Linked DNA regions of Drosophila melanogaster. The protein of the gene in region 4 binds, or shares a complex with, the protein of the main gene of each other region. Each region holds a gene or a part of one and is shown on either strand. Other genes may lie near its edges. The genes, in order: eIF3d2, eIF3d1, eIF3h and eIF3g2.

Region 1 (5,243 bases), 8.2 Mb from region 4:
CAGGAGCGATTGCAGATGAGCTGGAGATGAGAGGGTAAATCCGGAGGTTGGAAAGCGGAAGGCGGATGGGGATGGAGAAACCGCAGCGGTGACGTGGCAATGCAGCTGCATAATGTGGCATGCGGTTTGCATTAAAAATGATATTGCAACACGAGCCGCACATCTGCAGCTGTGTGCAGTTAGGCGCCGCCTGCAGTCACTGACAGCCGCATGGCAATTATAATCCACACACACATACACTCACTCAGACGCACACTCATCCACGGCTTATGGCTACACTGAAATCAATTCAATGGTAAAATAGGAATTATTTCAGTCAAAATAAGTTCCCATTGTTATTGCTCCACAGAACCCATTATTATATTCTTGGTATGCATTCTTGGTCTTCTATTCTTACATTTGACATTATCTCTTCATATTCTCGCAGTGTATCAACAGAGAAGTGCGAGGGAATCTGGAGCCGGGCCATGTAAGCAGCAGCTGCCAGTGACATACACATCAACATGACACCCTGTCGCTTGACAAAGCTTAGCTCAGGATCTGGGTGCTGGAAGAGGGGCGGAGGCACCGCACTCCCACTGTCATCCCGCTCGCACCCATATCATTTTCCACACATTCAGGCACATTCACACGCTCGACATGTTGCTTTTTGGGTATGAGCCGGAGTGCAGGATGTCCGCTTCCTTTTTCGCCGCCTCACACGTTGTTATCTAACAAGCTTTTTATGTGATTACCTTTTGCCTTCTGTTAGTTTTACTATAATTTGGCCTTTACGCTTAACGAGATTGTTGTAAGGTGCTCCCAGCCAAGAATAAGGAAACCGAACCGGAACACAGTGAGGACTGAGCCAAGTTGACCAGATCCAGCACACAGGACACTCGTCCCATTGTAGTGCACTCCGCTGTTGTTCCTTTGCTTTCCTGATACTTGGGTCAGAACAATGGTGCTGGAGTTGGAGTCATATGAATGGAGTCATGTCGATGTGAGCTTAGATGCGTCGTCAAGTGATAATCCCGTCACAGTACCCCGCTTCCTGTACCATTTCCACAGCTCAACAAACATTTATTTGTGCGCTTAGTGAGGGTTTTTTATAAAAGATAATAAGAAACAAGAATTTGTCGGCTGGAAGGGGATCCCCGCGCCCATCCTGGATCAGCTCACCATGCGGAGGATGAGAATAATCGTGGCCAATGAGAGCAGCACGACGTTGACGGAGAACCGAAAGACGAACAGGCAATTACACATTTCTTCATTGTGGTTGCGGTGGTGTTTAATTGGGGGCAGGGCGTCCTCCTAAGATTCATTCTCCAAACGTCTTACTTCTCACTTTGTGTAGTTTATAGGGTTTCGGTGTGACTAGAAATACAAATAAGACTGAGCTTTTATTGTGAGGAATTGGTATCTTTTGATTTCTCACAATAGGCTTCAATCTACTTACTATAGGCTTTTGAAGAAATCTTTTTAGTTGTCTATCAAAAATTATTTAAAGATTGGATATTCGGTTATTTCCTTAATGGATAAAACCGCCTTTTTCATATTATAACATTATCCAAACGTAGGGCTTGGAAAATTTTCCCAAGCTGTCAAGCCGGCCATACGAAATCAGCTCAGTGTAATTTGTACCTCGACAAAACCGGATCACATAAATGTAAATACTTGCTCTTGGTTATTTAAACATCTTTCGGCGTGATTATGTCCAACTACGCACCCTTTATCAAGCCCTATGTGGAGTACAACGAGCACGGCTGGGGTCCTTGCGAGGTACCCGAATTGGATGTGCCCTACCAGCCGTTCTGCAAAAGTGATCGCCTGGGCAAGATCTGCGACTGGACTGCGATGGTGCCCGAGAAGAAGTTCCCCAGTAAATACGCCTCGACCTTTGGCAACAACAGTCAGTACGCATACTTCTACGAGGACGATGACTCCACCTTCCATTTGGTGGACACCACTGGATCGAAGGCCACCAAGCCCTATCAGCGGGGACGCTATAGACCCAATATGCGCAACAATGTGAGGAGCAGGGGTCGCACGGGGCGTGGCACTCCGAATATAGCAAGTCTCGGGGGATCCACGGCTGGAGGCGCAACTGCCAGTACCACCAAGTACGGAAAGGGTCGCAATACACGCAACACGCAGAATATGGGTCGCAGATTCGGTCGCAATGCTCCCACCAGAATCCGCGAGAGCTCAGTGATGGTGCAATCGGATTGGGTTTCGATCGAGGAGATTGATTTTCCACGCCTTCTCAAGCTGGCACTTCCCAATATTAAAGATGGTAAGGACATTGCCACCTGCGGATGGCTGGAATTTTATGATAAGTTATACGATCGAGTCAACTTACGCAATGAAAAACCATTGCAAAAGATGGATCGTGTTGTGCACACCGTGACGACCACGGATGATCCGGTTATTCGTCGTCTTTCGAGGACCATGGGCAATGTCTTTGCCACCGACGAAATCTTGTCCACCATAATGTGCTGCACACGCTCCAATTACTCTTGGGATGTGGTAGTCGAGAAATTGGGCACTAAGGTGTTCTTAGATAAGAGATATAATGATCAATTTGATTTGCTGACTGTCAACGAGACTTCAGTAGAACCTCCGATGGATGAGGAGGGTTCCATCAATTCGGCACATAGCTTGGCAATGGAGGCCACTCTAATTAATCACAACTTTAGCCAGCAGGTAGGTTTACAGTAGGTTTCAATTTATGTTATTTGTTATTGTACGTTTTTAAATCTTATGTTATTTATTTTTAAAAGGTTCTTCGCATTGGCGACCAAGAGCCACGTTTCATGTTTGAGGAGCCCAATCCGTTCGAGGAGCCAGGCGTGGATCTTGCCTCCATTGGCTATCGCTACCGTCAGTGGGATCTGGGCAACGATGTGGTGCTGATTGCTCGCTGCAAGCACAATGGGGTTATCCAAGGACCCAATGGGGACGTGCAGTTCCTCTCGATCAAGGCGCTGAATGAATGGGACTCCAAGGTGACCAACAGTGTGGAGTGGCGCCAGAAGTTGGACACCCAGCGCGGTGCAGTCTTGGCCTCCGAGTTGCGCAACAATGCTTGTAAGCTAGCTCGATGGACCGTTGAGGCTGTGCTGGCTGGTTCCGATCAACTGAAGTTAGGCTATGTGTCCAGGATGAATCCGCGTGATCACCTGCGTCACGTGATCCTTGGCACACAGCAATTCAAGCCGCAGGAGTTCGCCACCCAAATCAACCTGAACATGGACAATGCCTGGGGAGTATTGCGTTGCCTAATTGACCTTGTGATGAGGCAACCGGATGGAAAGTATCTGATCATGAAGGATCCCAACAAGCCGATGATCCGTCTGTATGACGTTCCGGAAAACGCCTTCGACTCCGACGGCGATGAGGAGGAGGAGTCCAGCGATCCCTTGAGTAACTCCAACGATAACTAACGCCCTCACGAATTTATTCAACTAATAGTTCTCCGAACAAGGGGATCCGTCGACGGACGAGACAAGCCGACACATGCTGACAGATGCGCAGTGAACACAAATGCAATTTAAATTGAGTTTTTGACCAAACACAACATATGAACGGAGCCATCACTTGACATGTCAGTGAACAACGGACCGGGTGACCGGGTGCAGTCACAGTTATTTTGAGGATAACATGGCCACATCAATCACTGCGGTTCCAAGAAATACAAAATGAAACCCGGCTAAATAAATATGCATTGTGCAGAACATCCCCCGCCATTACCGACTGACAATCACAATAATTGCGGGGGAGTGGAACTGGGGCTGAAATGGGTGAAGGGCTGTTTGGGTGACAAACCTCAGGATCAATAAATCACCGAACACGGCATCAATCAATGCAAATTCTGATGCTGCTGTGGTGCTTGGCGTGCGACAATTTAAGCAAAATGTTTTCGTATTCAACAGCATTTAATTAAATTCATATATGTGCTCGAATTTCATATGCATCCTGCCTTTTTTGTTATTTGGCAATTCAATTTGGGCAGTCAGTGAGCACAAAAGTGCAGAAATTATTCCCCAACGGAAATGCAAATCGCTCAACTAAATTACCAAAATGTTTTGCGCATTTTTGTTTTTGTTTCTCCGTCCGCCAATTTCTTTTTGTTCAGCGCCAAATTGAATTTAGACCTATTCAATTTGCATGGATAGGCTTGCACTCCCTTTCTTCCCCAGACAGGATGAGCAAATGATGATGCCTGGGTGTGAAATAAGTGTGTGAAAATATTTAGGGAATTTACGCAAATGAAAATTGAAACCGATTAATTTTAATTCCCTGCCTGCGGCAAATTTGATTGATAAAGTCGGTCCATTATGTGGCAGTGCACAGATTCACAATGCAGCACATACATATGTATATGTGTGCACATCAAGTATACGCACAGTTGGCCGGAAAGGCACTTGATCTTGCCAGTAAGCAGCAGTGAAACACCAAAGTGTTATTCAATTAAAACATTTTGTTTGCTAAATCAACATGTGTGCCTGTGTGTGTGCCTGCAGGACCAACTTACGAAATGACTATTGCGGACTGGTTTTTTAAAGCGTTTGCCGCAGAAAAGTTGGCTCCGGCTGGTTAGCTGCTCGAGTGGCTTCAGCTACCATGTACCACCAACTACGGAGTACAGACTACCGACTACCAGCTGGCAACTACCGGCTTTAGCTACCAGCTTTAGCCTTAGCTGTAGCTGCAGTTGTAGCTTCGGCTTCTGGCCAGGACTGGCGTGGCATTTCAAGGTCTGCGCTTGGCTAACCACGCCGTTGAAAGGCGTTTAACAAACTGGCAGGCCGGGTTGGCCAGGGCACTTGCCAGCGGCAACAACTCCTAGCCCAACTCAAGTGGGGCCTTAACGCAAAACTTTGTACATTTTATCGCATATGCAGGGCTGCGGGCCATTCCGGGGTAACGGAGAACACAGACCGGAGAGCCCAGAACACAGGGTGTGGGTTAGTGGGCTGAGGTATGGGTTTAGATGGCCAAGGCATTTGCATATGCAACCACAAACACCGCCCGAGTGAAAAGTTAAGCGTTGAATGAGGGCGACAAATTGCAAATTAAACTCTTTTGCATTTTCCCAGCATCACATCACATGAGGAATAGTTGTAAATAAAACTGCCACACCCGCGTCAACTTTTTCAGCTCCTGCGACCTCCAACTAAATTCAATTTCATTTCAATTTGCCTCACTCGCTTTTTTCGCTGAAATGGGGTTATGGTAGCTGGAGCCTCGGAAGCCGTCTG
Region 2 (5,364 bases), 3.3 Mb from region 4:
TAAAGACATATGAAATGTATATATATATATATATATGTAGTAAAAGATATGACAGGTCAAGTGCAACTAACCGTACTGGAAACTTCAATCGCAGCAGGGCGATGTCGTTGTAGGGCCTTTCCTCGAAGACCATGTAGTGCCTATGCTTGATACTCAGATCGACGTCAATTTCCAGATGCTCTGGAGCGCAGTGTTCCCTACCATTAATATGGGTGACGCAGTCGGGATTGCTTAAAATGTTATGCTCGCCAAGGCGCACCCTCCTGAGATCCAATCCCGTTATCCTCAGACAATGGGCTGCGGTCAGCACATAGCGGTTTGTGATCAGGGATCCAGCGCACCTGGACACGAGTCTTTCATTCCACACCGAACGGCTGCGATGCGCATATAGAATCAGGGCCATCCAAGGCAACTCGTTGGGTTGCGTCTCCTCTCCTCCGAAAATTCGATAAGCCGGCATGATTGGTCCACATATCTGGGTATTTGGCAAAATGTGTCCCATATTTGGGCAGCAGATGAGAACTCTGTCCAATAATTCCTGCCCCTTGGGGCCATAGCCGCAATATCTGTCCTCGAATACCGCCTTCTCGGCTGGCGTCATGTTGTGGGGCTTCAGAAAGGGCAAGAGTGATGTGCAGCGGGCTAGACTAATGCATTTCTCATCCAGATTACAAGGCGGATATTCTGATACAGTAAAGAATTGGATATTAATAAATATTATATTATGTGAGTCATTTTAATTGGATGTTTAGATAATGATTGGACGAAACAAAGCTATTTATATTTTAAAATTCAAGGAAATACCCATATCCAAATGAATCATTTTCTTGAATGTTATAACGTATACAATGTGGAGTACTTGCAACATATATTACCAGACTCAGCCAGGTACATCAGCAATTGAGTATGCAGGACCAGGAAGGATATGTACACTCTTTGTAGGAAGACCATCTTTAACCGTCAGAGTTTAAACAATGTCTAAATCTTAACTAGATGCCCGACACGCACAATCAGCTTACTATATATGAGTCCGGGAAATGAGTCAGTCATTTACGTACAAGACCTCGGTGTTTCAGTCGAAAGTTTTTATCACAAGTACCCGGCATTAGACCTGGACCAATAAAAATTCATGTATTGTTTCGCCCTCTGTGATTTACTAGGAAATATCTGAATTTAAATCGAATACAAATGCTTAAGCTAGGGCCTATAACATGACCTTTTCCTTTAGAGGACATCAGTTGTGGTTATTCTTAGCGGGTTGTGGCAAAAGAGCCCAAGACTGGAAGGGATGCAGGAGTAGGGGGGCGTGGCGTCTAAATCTTGTTGTGCGCGTAGTTGTAGACCTGCTGGAAACCTTCGTCATCGCCCTCGCCATCGTCCGAGTCATCGGAGTCGAAAGTATTGTCTGGGATGTCGTACAGACGGATGATCGGCTTGTTGGGGTCCTTCATGATCAGGTATTTGCCATCCTTCTGCTTCATCACCAGATCGATGATGCATCTCAGGATTCCCCAGGCGTTGTCCATGCTCAGGTTGATCTGAGTGGCAAATTCATGCGGCTTGAACTGCTGCGTGCCGAGGATGACGTGACGCGAGTGATCTCTCGGATTGATACGCGACACATAGCCGAGCTTTAGCTGATCGGACCCGGCCAGGACGGCCTGCACAGTCCACTTGGCCAGCTTGCATGCGTTGTTCCTCAGCTCGTTGGCGAGCACAGCACCGCGCTGCGTGTCCAACTTTTGACGCCATTCCACGCCATTGGCCAACTTCGAGTCCCACTCGTTGAGTGCCTTGATAGTCATGAACTGCGGCTCGCCGCTTGGCGTCTGCAGGACACCATCGTGCTCGCAACGCGCTACCAGGACCTAAAAGTATAAGACAATAGTTTAACATAATATAGAAAAATATTCCAACTTTAAAGTTGGATTATGCAACACTTACAATATCGCTTCCCAGCTCCCACTTCTTGTAGCGGTAGCCCACGCTGGCGACTTGGATATCTTCGTCCTCGCTGATGAAAGGGTTGCTTTCCTCGAACTTGTATTTGGGTTCCTGGTCTCCAGTCTTAAGCACCTGCTGGCTAAAGTTGTGGTTAATGAAAGTCGCCTCGATGGCCAGGTTGCGAGGGGAGTTGCATGAGCTGTCGTCGTCGGTCGGTGGTTCCACGCTGCTCTCGTTCACGGTCAACAGATCGAACTCGGTGTGGTCACGCTTGTCCATGAACACCTTGTCGCCTAAAATAAGGTTACAATTATTATTTATTTCTCTTATTATTATTATATTTCGTATTTCATTTAACATACCAACTTTCTCGATGACAATATCCCAGGAATAGTTCGATCGCGTAGAGCACATGATGGTGGCCAGGATGGCGTCCGTGGCGAAGACATTGCCGACGGTCTTAGACAAACGCCGGATGACGGGATCGTCTGTGGTGGTCACCGTATGCACGATGCGATCGATCTTCTGCAGCGGCTTCTCGTTCTTCACATTGATGCGGTCGTAGGTCTTGTCGTAGTACTCCAACGTGCCGCAGGTGACAATATCGACGCCCTCCTTGATGTTGGGCAGCGACAGCTTGATGAGTCGCGGGAAGTCCATCTCCTCGATGGATGCCCAATCGGCGCGGACGGCCACCGAAGATTCGCGCATCTTTGGTGGTGGTCCGCGATGACCGAACTTCTTGCCCATGCCGCGACCATGGCGCGGATCGCGGGCCTTTACATTCTTGCCGCTGAGCGTCGTCATGCCGTGAGTATTAAGGCCACCGCGGGCATTCCTGCCACGACCGGAACGCGAATTCCTCATGTTGCGGAACCGGCCGCGCTGGTGCGGCGGCTTCTGGACGCGGGCCGTGTCCACCAGGTGGAAGGTTGTCTCGTCCTCCTCATGGTAGTACGAGTACTGAATGCCCGTGCCAAAGCTGGAGGCATACTTGTCTGCGAATGGAATACCAACCACCAATATGTTAGCAACAATATCATGCCACGACACACCTACCTAACCTCACTTTCGGCGATTAGTATTTTGTGGGTCGGTTTCGGGTGGGGAATAAACTCACTCTGGTACTTCTTGTCGTTGTTCGACGTATTCGTCCAGTCGCAGATCTTGCCCAGACGATCGTTCTTGCTGAACGGCTGGTACGGCACATCCTTGAACGTATCGGGCAGCTCGCAGGGACCCCAGCCCTTTTCATTGAACTGCACGGTCGGCTTCTCGAAGCTCGGGAACTGAGCCGCGGTGTTTATGGTCTCGCTCATCTCGCGCGTTTACCTGGTGCTCAGTCTGCAGTCGGCTATTCGGTCTATATACAGCGATTTTCCAGAAATCAACAAAGAAATGTGGAAAATTCGTATCGTCGCGTGTTGCGAAAATAGTTGAGTGGGACCGTTGTCGCGTTGAAATATACCACCGCCAAAGAAAAATACTAAAATCGTAGCGAATGTTCAAAGGTCTGGCAGCATGCTGTCATAGATGGCGCCACTGCTGGGCGGGAAAACTAAAAATTCGAACTATTCATTTTTCAGAACCTGATTTTACGATTTAATTACAAAGAAAATGCAAAAAATATTTTTTAATAAAAAAATGTATTGTTAAATGAACACAATATTTATTGACAATTATTTAGCTGCTTATTGAACTTTTCCTTATACTTGGCGCAAAAAATGGCATCAAAATGATCAGTTAAGTTTGCTGATAGATCCGCGTTATAAACCTTAAAATCACAAAGTTTTATTTTAGATTTCATGAATTTCTTTCGCATTTAAACTCACGTTATCCAGAGCTACGGCTGGCACTCCCTGAAATGAGACCTTGGCCGTTTCCTTGCCGTACTTCCTCAGAATGTCGTTCACCTGTCGCGTTTTCTTGCAATTTTTGACATCGCCCACGTCGATTTGATAGTGGTCAGCGCACTTTTCCAGCCTGTTCTTCTTACCCCTCATCATGCAGGCGATCAGCTTGAGGGATTGGGCAATGTCATGGTGCTCCAGTATGCAGGCGTGCCACGCGTTCAATTCGCACTCCATCACTCCGTGCTGGCACTCCACATTTCCGTCATCGTTCGTCTGGAGGGGATTAAGCGAAGTTTAAGTGCGGATTAACGCTGATTGACACTCTAAAACTTCAAATTGAGCTATACTATGTACTTGTACTATAACTACTAGTTTAAGCTACGAAAAATGAAACCTACCCTGGCATTTCCATAAGGAACCAGCGTAAGATCAGTGAATGGAAGTCGATCCTGACGGACCATCGAGGGATTGAGCTGCGTGGTCACGAACTCCATGCAGTAGGGACACAATGCTTCGTAGTACAGGGTGATCGCCAGTCGGTCAGCTTGCGGTCCGCGCAAACGCTGCAAAGTCACGATCAATGGGAGCGTCGCAATTCGGGATTCAGTCCGATCAACTGGGTCACTTACCCTTGGCGTGGCCACGCCCACCCATCCCAGCAGCAGACACACAAAGACAGCCGCCCTCATGGCAAATTCAGTTTAATCCCGAGCTGATCTTGAAATATTCGGCCGCTCAACGCCAGCGAACGCTCGACACTGAAATAATTCCGGGACTTGTAATGCGCAGCGTTGTCACTGCGTTTCGTCAAATTCGAAGCGGCCAGTGGCGTGGTTAGAAAATGCTCAAGGGGGGCTCAAAAATCATATAAGTTAAAAAAAAAATAATTATTTGTATTGCAATAGTAGGGTGACTTTTCGCTTGTTTTTTATAATTTTTCTGTAATATATCCGCTTTTGAAAAAATTAATATAAATATATAGATAAAGGGTGTGACTAGCCAACCAATTCGACGCCCCTGCTGTCAACCAGCATTTTCCCCTTTACATTTATGCGCTGACTACGGAAAACTTACTGAGCAGCGGGGTTTTAATCTTATTTTTAGACCACCAGACAGCTGTTTCTGATTAGAATCTGTATACAAAAACATGACTGATAAGCTGATATGTATATACTATACACATGTAAATTTTTATTGGCCCCAAGTGAGTCAGCGAGTAAGCAAACACTCCAGTTGGTTATAATTATTGTTTATTGGTCTTGGAACATTGAAACAGTTAAATTACTCAGTACATTACATAAAAGTTTACAAAATTGCGGAACAAGTGGGCAGTTTGATGTTGAACTTTTTCAGATACTGCCGACAGAAGTGTCTTTCGAAGTTGTTGCGAATGCTTCTCTGGTCGTAAGGATCAAAGTCCTGCGGATCAGAGGGTAATGTTAAGTTAAGTCTGGTATTTGATCATGTAAGCCTGGTTGGGTTGGTTACTCACATTCTCGAACACAATGGTGGGCACAAAGGAGATGCCCAGTTTAAGGGTTTCCTTGCCGTAGGGCGCCAGTATTTC
Region 3 (4,993 bases), on a different chromosome or scaffold from region 4:
AAAATTCCTTACTTCCGATAACACAACCGATAACTAAAACTTTAAAACATAGCGGTACCTTAAGCTTTATGAATTTGTTGTTTTGACAAACGGCTCTTGACTTTTTCAAAATGTCCGATTTCGAGTACGGAATTTGCCCTTACGACAAATCGCACCGCATCTTGCTCTTCCGGATGCCCAAGCACTTAATTAAGTGCGAGAAGAACTACTGTGGACCGCCGCTGCAGACCTGCAAGTACAACGCCACACACCGAGTCCAGGACATGGAGAAGCATCTGAAGGAGTGTGACTACTATCTCCGCAGCATCGAAAACCAGGCGGTGCAGATAGCGCTTCGTAGTCGCATACCGCCCAAACAGGAAGATGGACATGATGTGGACACACCATTTTAGGCTAAGACAAGCAGGCATCCAAATATACCATGTACATATGTGATAGTATATGAACCATAAAATAAAAAGCTTCTTGAAGAAGCATGCACAATATTCGTTTGATTGCATTTATGTTCTGATTAAAATAAGAATCTTAAACTAGAGGAGCAAAAGTTTTGGTATTTACAAGCCTGTTGCTATTGCATTGCACAAAGCCTGGGGTCAAATACATTCGTCTGGCGTTTAAAACATTTGCAGGCACTTTTCCACAACTATTTACAGTCTAAGATTACGTCTAGGACAAGCTACAGCATTACACCATATCGAGGTCCGATTCTGCCGCTTCCTCGTCGATCAGCTTTCGTTTATCCGTTGATTTGGTCGTGGCATCACTTAAATTGGACAGCGGACGCACCTTGCCCAAATTAACCACCGGGCTTTGGGTGTAGAGATAGATGGCGTAGGATACAACCGCGATGGCCAGCGCGGTGTTCATGTAAATGGGTATGGAGAAGAGGAAGTAGCATAGGACTGCCGTGAAGAGCAACTCCAGAGCGCTCGCGAAGGTCTTTAGAATGGAGTTCATGTACTTGAGGAAGAAACTCGTGACAATGCCAATAGCCGCATTGTTAACAATAATGATTAGCACGCTAAAGCGCATAATACTGCCCAGATTCTGCGGACTAAAGGCATCAAGGAGCTCGCCGCGCAGCAAGAGGATGACTGCATTGCAGACAATCGAGTCCAGGTACATGAAGACATTCTGTACAAAGATATTCACATCGGCTCCCTTATCTTTAAGCAGATACTCATTGTAAACGCCCGCCAGACAAGAGCAAATTGTCTGTGCCAGAATGAAGACGGCACTCAGGCTAAAATCGAAGCCGGACATGTTCTTGCCGTGAGCGTGCGTCTCTGCAGAAGTTGTTTTATTATGTGATTGCAGCTGCTGCTGTATGGCTGCGGACTCGCTGTCATCATTCGCATCGCTGTAGAAGCTGCCGAAATCGACCTGCTTCATCATACAGCCGAGTGTCAGCAGTATGAGGGAGATCCATTGCCTTTGCGACAGGTACTTCTTGAAGATAATTTGGAATAGTATGCCCGTGACAACGACACGTAGCTGCAGTAGCAGATAGTAGGTGGTGGGATCGAATGTGGCCAAGTTGACAAAGGCCAAATTGTTGTACAGGCAGTAGAGAAAGGCGGGCACCATGTACAAGCCCAATACATTCCGATCCTTCTGAACATCGCGCACCAGGGAGCGTAGGTTGTTGCTGTGAATGAAATCGCGGTTTAATAGCGAGACAAAGGAGCGCCTCCACTCCTACTCACTCTCGGCAATACAGACAGGTGGAGACTATCAATTTAAAGACCTCGGTTAGCAGCACAACCGTGACGGTATTGTAGCCATAGGAGTTATTCGATTCCTGAGATGCTGTGACAAAGATGCCTGCAAAATAGACAGGAATTAGGGTGCGGCTTTGGCTTGCGTAAAAAGCCTTAATAAGGCAGCTGCATACCCTGTCCTATGAATAGGGACATGTACAACAGGAAGATCACAAATGTGAGCTTGGTGGGGAACAATTCACGCCAATTAGTTGACATTTCTGCGGTCTTCGTACTGCCAGCGTTGCGTTGCTAATGCGAAGAGAACTAAGACTAGCTACAAGTTGCGGCAACCGCAGTTATCAGTACCGTTCCGCTCGTTCGTGACAAGTGGGCCGTTTCTCGGTTTTCTAGGAAGTACAATTTTGAGTTTGTTTCTGTTGCTTTTCCACTGATAAACAAAATATATTTTGGGCCTTTTTTTATCGCTCGCCCGAACAGCTGATTTTAAAGCAGTGCACGCTTTTCAACACTTCAACCCACACAAAAATTGTGGTGTTGCGAAACGCCCTTTTACCACTGCAGCCGAGTTCACGTCGTGGGTCTTTTCGCTTACAATTCGTCAACATGGCAAATCGCGCAAATCGTCATGCTGCTCGCACCGAGGATTCGGATAATACCATTAACTACGTCCAATGCGACGGACTGGTGAGTAGTGCTGTTGGCCAAAAGACCTGGCCGAGATTGGCCCGTGGGAACCGGCGCGAAAGCCGGAAAAGTTAATGCCACGCGCTGTCTCAGAAATTTGCGTGCTTTGTGTGTGTTTGTATGGGTGTTCGTGAGGACATGGGCGTAGAGCTATAAGGAAAAGGGGGCCGGTCTCTTCATTACCATAGCACAAAAAACTTCAGTCAAATGTTTTCTTCAGAGAAACTATTAAAAGAAAGTCCGAAATATATCTACTTTCCACGCCCCTGTTCAAATGCAAATAGTTGTCTGTCGCTAATTGATTTTGGAACATAATTACTACGATCACTTTACCTTGCAGGCCGTCATGAAGATGGTGAAGCACTGCCATGAGGAGTCGAGCAACATGGACCTCGCCCAGGGCGCCCTGCTCGGTCTGGTGGTAGACAAGTGCCTGGAGATCACCAACTGCTTCCCGTTTCCCAAGAGCGGCGATGAGACCATGGACGAGGAGATGTACCAGCTGACCGTGATGCGTCGCCTGCGTCGCGTCAACGTAGATCATCTCCATGTGGGCTGGTACCAGAGCTCCGACGTGGGCAACAGCCTGTCAATGGCTCTGTTGGAATCGCAGTACCACTACCAGACCAGCATTGAAGAGTCCGTCGTTGTCGTCTACGATACGCAGAAGTCATCCCGCGGATTCCTGTGCTTGAAGGCCTACCGCCTTACTCCGCAGGCCATTCAGATGTACAAGGATGGCGACTTCACTCCAGAGGCATTCCGCACCCTGAAGGTCGGCTACGAGAACCTCTTCGCCGAGATTCCCATTGTGATCAAGAACTCGCCGCTGACCAACATTATGATGAGCGAGCTGAACGAGCTGCTGCCCGAGGACAAGGGGCACAACTTCCTGGACCTGGGCACCGCCACCGTATTGGAGAACCAAATGCGTAGCCTGATCGAGCGCGTCGACGAGTTGTACCAGGAGGCAGTGCGCTATAACAAGTACCAGCAGGTGGTCTTCAAGCAGGATACGGTACGTAGCAATATAATTAAATATGTAAAAATTCCTAATCGCTTTCCTTGCATTTATATTTTTTAGGAGAAGCACCGTGCTCTGGCTAAGCTGGCCGCCGAGAACGCCGTTCGCACATCGAAGGGAGAGCCCACGGTGCCAGAGGAGGAAGTGATCAAACAGTTCCGCCCCATGACTGCGCCCAACCGCCTGACGGCCACCATAACCTCTGGCCAGATCAATACCCACGCCCAGCATATCGCACAATTCTGTTCGCAATCGCTGGCCAAACTCTTCATCACGGAATCGCTGCAAATTGCCAAGGAAGCAAAGGAAACCAAATAGATTAGCTAATGTTAAGCGTTTTTTAAGCTGAGGCAACAACATTCACTACCCACAAACATAGCAACTGCACACACAGACGTCGAAAATAAACCAAACAAGCGATGAGTGGGCTTGGAAGCGAACTGCCAGCTGATTTCTTCTTTATTGTACTCTCCATTTGCTCAATAGAATGGCCAATTCAAACCGCCCCAAAAAAAGAAAACCACCACCCGCTATGCAGCCAAAAATTGGTACTGCTTCTGCGCACGCCGGATGTTTGGTTTCACTTCTCGATGAGACTTTCCGGGGGAGTGTTGCTGCCACTGACGACATCGACGCACTTTTCACACCACCCCACAAGCAGCTGCTTATCATTTGGTTTGTTCTTTTCGCTTCGCCTTTTCGCTAACCAGCTTCAGTTAGCCTAACTAACTAAATTACTAACCCGATGGCAAAATGCTGTCCTACGACCTCAACGAACGCCTGCTAACCGCCGTACAGAGCGGAGATTTCGAGCAGGCTCTGGGCTGCATCATGCAAGGTGCCCAGGCCTCGTATGTATCGCCCACTTGCGGACGCACTGCCGTGGGCACGGCGGCCATTCTGGGCGATGCCGAACTGTTGGAGCTGCTGCTTCAATCCTGCGAGGAGCCCGAGCTGAATGTCTTTCATCAGTGTGAGTTTTCCTTCCACTGGTTCGTTCTGAAAACAAACGAAACTAACTTTCGGAAAATTTAATTGCATTAAAAACAAACACATAGAGAACATTAGAAAAAAAAATGCTGTGGGTAAGCTAGATAATGTGTATGTATATTGTTCAAAGGTAAAACATAAACATAAATAATAATAATAATAATCAATGGATCCAGGAAACGAATTAGTTAGATACAAGAAAATTTTAAATGAAGTGCCAGTTCGTTTGTTCACTTTTGGAGTATATATAATACTATACAGAATTTATTATAATTTTAATACTCCCACTAAGTTGAATGATCCAATTTTAGTCGGTTAATTTTGTACGTACTCAATTTCTTGTTGTGCATTCTTTTCTCTTTTCGGGTCTATCCAACATAATGCAAGCACAGAGAAAAGTAAGTGAAGGCCGGAAAACCGGTTATCGGTTGGCCAGTTAACCGGCTGATAACAATGCTCGACAATGGGTTCCAACTGCAACCAGACACAGTAGACACGGCTAGTTCTATGTGGCAAGTAACGAAAATCTTGTCAAACCTGAAACCTGTACTTCATACTGTCTTAGCAAAAA
Region 4 (4,253 bases):
AATTATCATAAATATTCAGACACTGTACGTTCACCGTTTGCCGGATCTCTTTAAGGCACATCCATATTTGGAGGACATTTAAAGGACAGCAGCGCGACAGCCATTAACCTGCACGGCCAACAAAAAGTAATTTCACTTTTAAATGAAAAAGTTCAAAGTGCGTTTGTTTATGCCAAACACACACTCTCGCACACAAATACAGAAAACCCACATGAGACGCTGGCCATAAAAACAAATGCCAAATGATTTTTGTTGCTGGTTTTCTGTATGCGATCCACTCCCCTATGACAAAAATTAGACGCTGGCCAGCAATTGTAATCGTAACTTTTTATTATGATACGTTAGCATTTGCAATCGAAATTGAATTGGAGTGGGACTCGGTTCAGAAAAAAGAAAAATATGCTTGAACAATTTGCGTGTTTTTTTCTATACGCAACGATTCTTTAACAATGTATGCTATTCCTGATATATGAACCGAATTTAAAATATGTTCTTATTTGAGCAATCAAAAGCAAACTTATATATATGCAGAAAGGATGTTGATTTAAGCCAGTATCTTGCATCGAAGTGAAGGAGTCAGCTACGAACATGTAAAGTATATATATTATTGATCAATGTTAAATGTTCTTCTATCCACAAAATAATCTCTCAGTGTTAAAGTTATCCGCATGAAACTTTCCCATTGCAAAAAGTATAAAAGTCGGTACGGACCATATAATACATAAATGATTGCTGAAGGAATATGCGGAGCACTAGAAAGTATAGAAAATAAATCATAATTTCTTAGTTCATAAAAGGTTTTAATTCGGTATACATTAGGTATTTTTCAATAAGCTTTCAGTCAATAATTCCCAGCACTCGAGCCTTGCTGAGAAAATCTGTGCGCTGCACATAGGAACCGGACATGGTACGACTTCCTGTGTATGCCTCTCGACCATGGAGCACTCTCCAGTTATCGAAAAGAACAATGCTGCCGGGACATAGCTTGAGAGCCCACTGCTGTTGCTTATCCCTGACGATTAGCAAAAGCTGGCGAAGACTGTCATAGAACTCGGCCATTTCGGCTTGAGGGATGGTATTAAACACGGCGCGATCATATACATTTAGTCTGAGTTGAACAAATTCCTGAGTCAGTGGATCCACCTGTATAATGGGGGCAGTGTGGTAGTGGTGCTCCCCTTTTTCGATGTACTCTCCAGGAACTTGGACACTGCACAGTACATCATAAGCGGCGGGATACCGGCGTTTCAGTTCGTGAACCACATGCAGACCATCAACAAAGAAATTTTCGCCACCCGATCCCGAGTGCTCAATGCAATGTAGAGCCTGTAGTCCGGCTGCATCGCAGAAATAGGTATTATCCGTATGGGAACCCAGGTAAAGTTTGGTATAAGCGGTGTCCGCGTGATCGGGGTTATCGCTAAAAGTCCACATTTCGCCAAAGAACGTTTTCATAAGGGGGAAAACTCGTCGCAGAGCCAATTCTGTCATATTCGCGGTGGGAGCCACATCATCGATAAAGACAATGCCATAACGCACCAGAGATTCAACCAGGGATCTGACTTCGTTATCACTGGAAACCAGCTGGGGCAATGGGAATCGTAAGTGCCGTTCGTTTTGCAAGATAATGCTACGATTCCATGGTGTCAGATTAGTGGACTTTGATCGCCGACCTATCAACCTCTCCAGCTGTGAGTCGAAGATAAAGTCCAGGTCATAGTTCGACTTGTGAGCATCACTCCCTAAAATGGCAGGCCAATAAAATCGAAGCTAGGTGCATTTTACATCAATTTTTTCTTACACTGCACTTGTAGATTCATCCCGTCGTATTTGACATCTAGTGGCATTATATCAGCTGGTAGATCTAAGACATCGTATCGCCTCTGATTTGTTTCGAAATTTAGACACTCCACACATCGACAATGATCACGGAGCCAAAACTCATTGATTTCTATTGATTGGCTGGTTTTCGGGTGCTTCAAAAGCAACATGTTAATGCCAATAGAACAACCGACGGACTAGAGCAGTGAAAGTGAACTAACAGCTCAAAGTTTGATTAAGTTTCAGCTCGGTTTTAATTGTACTGTTATCAGTAGGAGAGCGATTACTTTCATGCTCAAGTCAGAGATAAGAACTTATTTGTTTACGGAATAACTATAAGATTAATAAATTTATTGAATTTAAAGACAATATGTAATTATTAAGAACAACTCATGAAAGTAAAAAAATTTATAATTTAATCAAGATTGATTGAATGGTATGTTTTTGTTGCAAAGTTATCTTAGTGAATTGCTACTCAAGTTGTTGTATTTTTTATTAAAAAATCATTACTTTAAAGAAAATATAAATATTAATTTCAAATATCTTTTATTGAAAGGGATTTTTTCCCATCTCAACAGGCCAAGTAAAATTCAAATGGAAAAACTCTCTCTAAAACTAGAGATCTCTAAGTTTTTAATTCATTTTGTACCGGTTGTGTGGGAAATCATAAAAAATGAAGACTTTCGTTACTTCCTGGGCCGATGAGGTGGATGCGGACTATGTGGATGGACTGCCGCCTTCTAATGAGTACATTAAGGGCGACTTCAAGTACGTGACGGAGTATAAGTTCAACGATGATGGCAAGAAGGTGAAAGTGGTGCGAACCTTCAAGATCGAGAAGCAGATTGTTCCGAAGGCTGTGGCTCGTCGTCGCAACTGGGTTAAGTTTGGGGATTCGCGATCGGACAAGCCCGGACCCAATTCCCAGACGACAATGGCCTCCGAGGAGATCTTTATGCAATTCATCGGCTCCAAAGATTTCGACCAGACCCACGAAACCCAACTTGATCCCGGCAAGAACATCGCCAAGTGCCGCATTTGCAATGGCGAACACTGGAGTGTCAATTGTCCCTACAAGGGCACCTCGATGGATAGCAAAACCGTGATGGAAACCAAGGCCAATGCCGCTGCAGCTGCCGCTATAAGTGATCCCAGCAAGACCGGAAAATATGTACCACCCTTCATGAAGGACGGCGGAGGCATATCTGGCAGCAAAAATTGGGGACGGGGTCGGGATCGGGACGATTCGTCGGCAGTTCGCATCTCAAACCTATCCGAATCCATGACCGAGACTGATCTCGAGGAGCTGGTAAAGAAAATCGGACCACACACCAAGATGTATTTGGCGCGCGAAAAAAACAGCGGCCTCTGCAAGGGATTCGCCTACGTGCACTTCAAGTTCCGCCAGGATGCAGCTGCCGCCATTGAGGTTCTTAATGGCCACGGCTACGACCACTTGATCCTCTGCGTCGAGTGGTCCAAGCCTCAGCCGTAATGGCTATAGCCTTGTGTATTCGCTTCTCTGCTTATTCGAGAACGGAAATGAGCTGCGGTGGCAGTGAAATCAAAATAAAATTCTGGTACACCCTGCAAAATATGCGACCACTTTTATTTTTAATTTGCACACATTCGATAATTACAGAGAATATATTAATAATAATATAAAATCTATTTATTAATGTTTCGTAGTAGATTTTTTCATCTTTCAGTTGAGCAAAGGATATGAATTGAGATAGATATGAAAATTGTTAAAAACAGTCTGGTTCATTTGGGACCACTCAATTTTCGAGTTGATATACCCTTGGACATCCAAGGTGGATGCTTTTTTTAAGTGCATAAAAGAGAAAGCTCGCCTTGAGCGAACTAAAGCCGATAATGCTCCGTTTTAAATGCGATTTTTTCGCCGTGCTCCGCAGCCGTACAAAGGTGAAAGCCACTTAAATGGAAGCCAACGTGGTGCCGGATGATGATGGCACGGCGTTCCCGGCAAGAGCTGAGAAATGCCACAAGACGCTGGCCGGACCGAATGAACATTAATAATTAAATATAAGAGCGGACTTATGCGCACGATACTTGGAGCGGAGCCCCTCAGAACGGGACGCCAACTACGCGACCATGACGTTGAACCGGGAATGAGTGGTCGGTGGATAGTGTTCGCGGGAAAGTCCCGGCTTAGATACACATTTTGAATGAGGGGCGGATCAAAGCCAGGCACAAAAGAAATTTATTTCCATTGTTGTTGCTGTTGCGGTGGTATGGGATGGGTAGCAGCTAAAGCAGAGTCTAAAACAAATTACTGAATAATTTATAAATTAACTTTTTCTGCGGCGCGCTCATTCGTTCGTCCCCGGCCTTTGTTTGAGCGGCAGAATGAATAGGTGGAAGGCGAATGAATGGGTGGCCAGGTGGGCGGCTTGACAGGTTAGTTAGCA

What was found.
Region 1: eIF3g2 (region 4) and eIF3d2 share a complex: the UniProt entries of both Drosophila melanogaster proteins name them as parts of the eukaryotic translation initiation factor 3 (eIF-3) complex.
Region 2: eIF3g2 (region 4) and eIF3d1 share a complex: the UniProt entries of both Drosophila melanogaster proteins name them as parts of the eukaryotic translation initiation factor 3 (eIF-3) complex.
Region 3: eIF3g2 (region 4) and eIF3h share a complex: the UniProt entries of both Drosophila melanogaster proteins name them as parts of the eukaryotic translation initiation factor 3 (eIF-3) complex.

The regions. Positions count from the first base shown.
Region 1 is NT_033777.3:12,191,402-12,196,644, reverse strand, and holds eIF3d2 (eukaryotic translation initiation factor 3 subunit d2), read left to right. Parts: upstream 1-1,633; 5' UTR 1,634-1,692; coding exon 1,693-2,685; intron 2,686-2,762; coding exon 2,763-3,425; 3' UTR 3,426-3,942; downstream 3,943-5,243. Other genes in the region: CG43450 (uncharacterized protein), read right to left, coding at 1,158-1,304. UniProt on the Drosophila melanogaster protein: mRNA cap-binding component of the eukaryotic translation initiation factor 3 (eIF-3) complex, which is involved in protein synthesis of a specialized repertoire of mRNAs and, together with other initiation factors, stimulates binding of mRNA and methionyl-tRNAi to the 40S ribosome.
Region 2 is NT_033777.3:23,678,090-23,683,453, reverse strand, and holds eIF3d1 (eukaryotic translation initiation factor 3 subunit d1), read right to left. Parts: upstream 3,416-5,364; 5' UTR 3,264-3,415; coding exon 3,065-3,263; intron 2,943-3,064; coding exon 2,307-2,942; intron 2,238-2,306; coding exon 1,945-2,237; intron 1,869-1,944; coding exon 1,314-1,868; 3' UTR 1,137-1,313; downstream 1-1,136. Other genes in the region: CG16710 (uncharacterized protein), read right to left, coding at 72-684, 876-951; GILT2 (Gamma-interferon-inducible lysosomal thiol reductase 2), read right to left, coding at 3,614-3,718, 3,777-4,070, 4,196-4,360, 4,427-4,486; GILT3 (Gamma-interferon-inducible lysosomal thiol reductase 3), read right to left, coding at 5,103-5,216, 5,290-5,364. UniProt on the Drosophila melanogaster protein: mRNA cap-binding component of the eukaryotic translation initiation factor 3 (eIF-3) complex, which is involved in protein synthesis of a specialized repertoire of mRNAs and, together with other initiation factors, stimulates binding of mRNA and methionyl-tRNAi to the 40S ribosome.
Region 3 is NT_033779.5:5,050,070-5,055,062, reverse strand, and holds eIF3h (eukaryotic translation initiation factor 3 subunit h), read left to right. Parts: upstream 1-1,979; 5' UTR 1,980-2,327; coding exon 2,328-2,408; intron 2,409-2,748; coding exon 2,749-3,426; intron 3,427-3,492; coding exon 3,493-3,750; 3' UTR 3,751-3,870; downstream 3,871-4,993. Other genes in the region: CG14036 (uncharacterized protein), read left to right, coding at 111-392; senju, read right to left, coding at 685-1,648, 1,707-1,824, 1,895-1,979; CG9121 (uncharacterized protein), read left to right, coding at 4,186-4,405. UniProt on the Drosophila melanogaster protein: Component of the eukaryotic translation initiation factor 3 (eIF-3) complex, which is involved in protein synthesis of a specialized repertoire of mRNAs and, together with other initiation factors, stimulates binding of mRNA and methionyl-tRNAi to the 40S ribosome.
Region 4 is NT_033777.3:20,405,833-20,410,085, forward strand, and holds eIF3g2 (eukaryotic translation initiation factor 3 subunit g2), read left to right. Parts: upstream 1-2,432; 5' UTR 2,433-2,494; coding exon 2,495-3,316; 3' UTR 3,317-3,411; downstream 3,412-4,253. Other genes in the region: Tmlh (trimethyllysine hydroxylase), read right to left, coding at 838-1,742, 1,802-1,991. UniProt on the Drosophila melanogaster protein: RNA-binding component of the eukaryotic translation initiation factor 3 (eIF-3) complex, which is involved in protein synthesis of a specialized repertoire of mRNAs and, together with other initiation factors, stimulates binding of mRNA and methionyl-tRNAi to the 40S ribosome.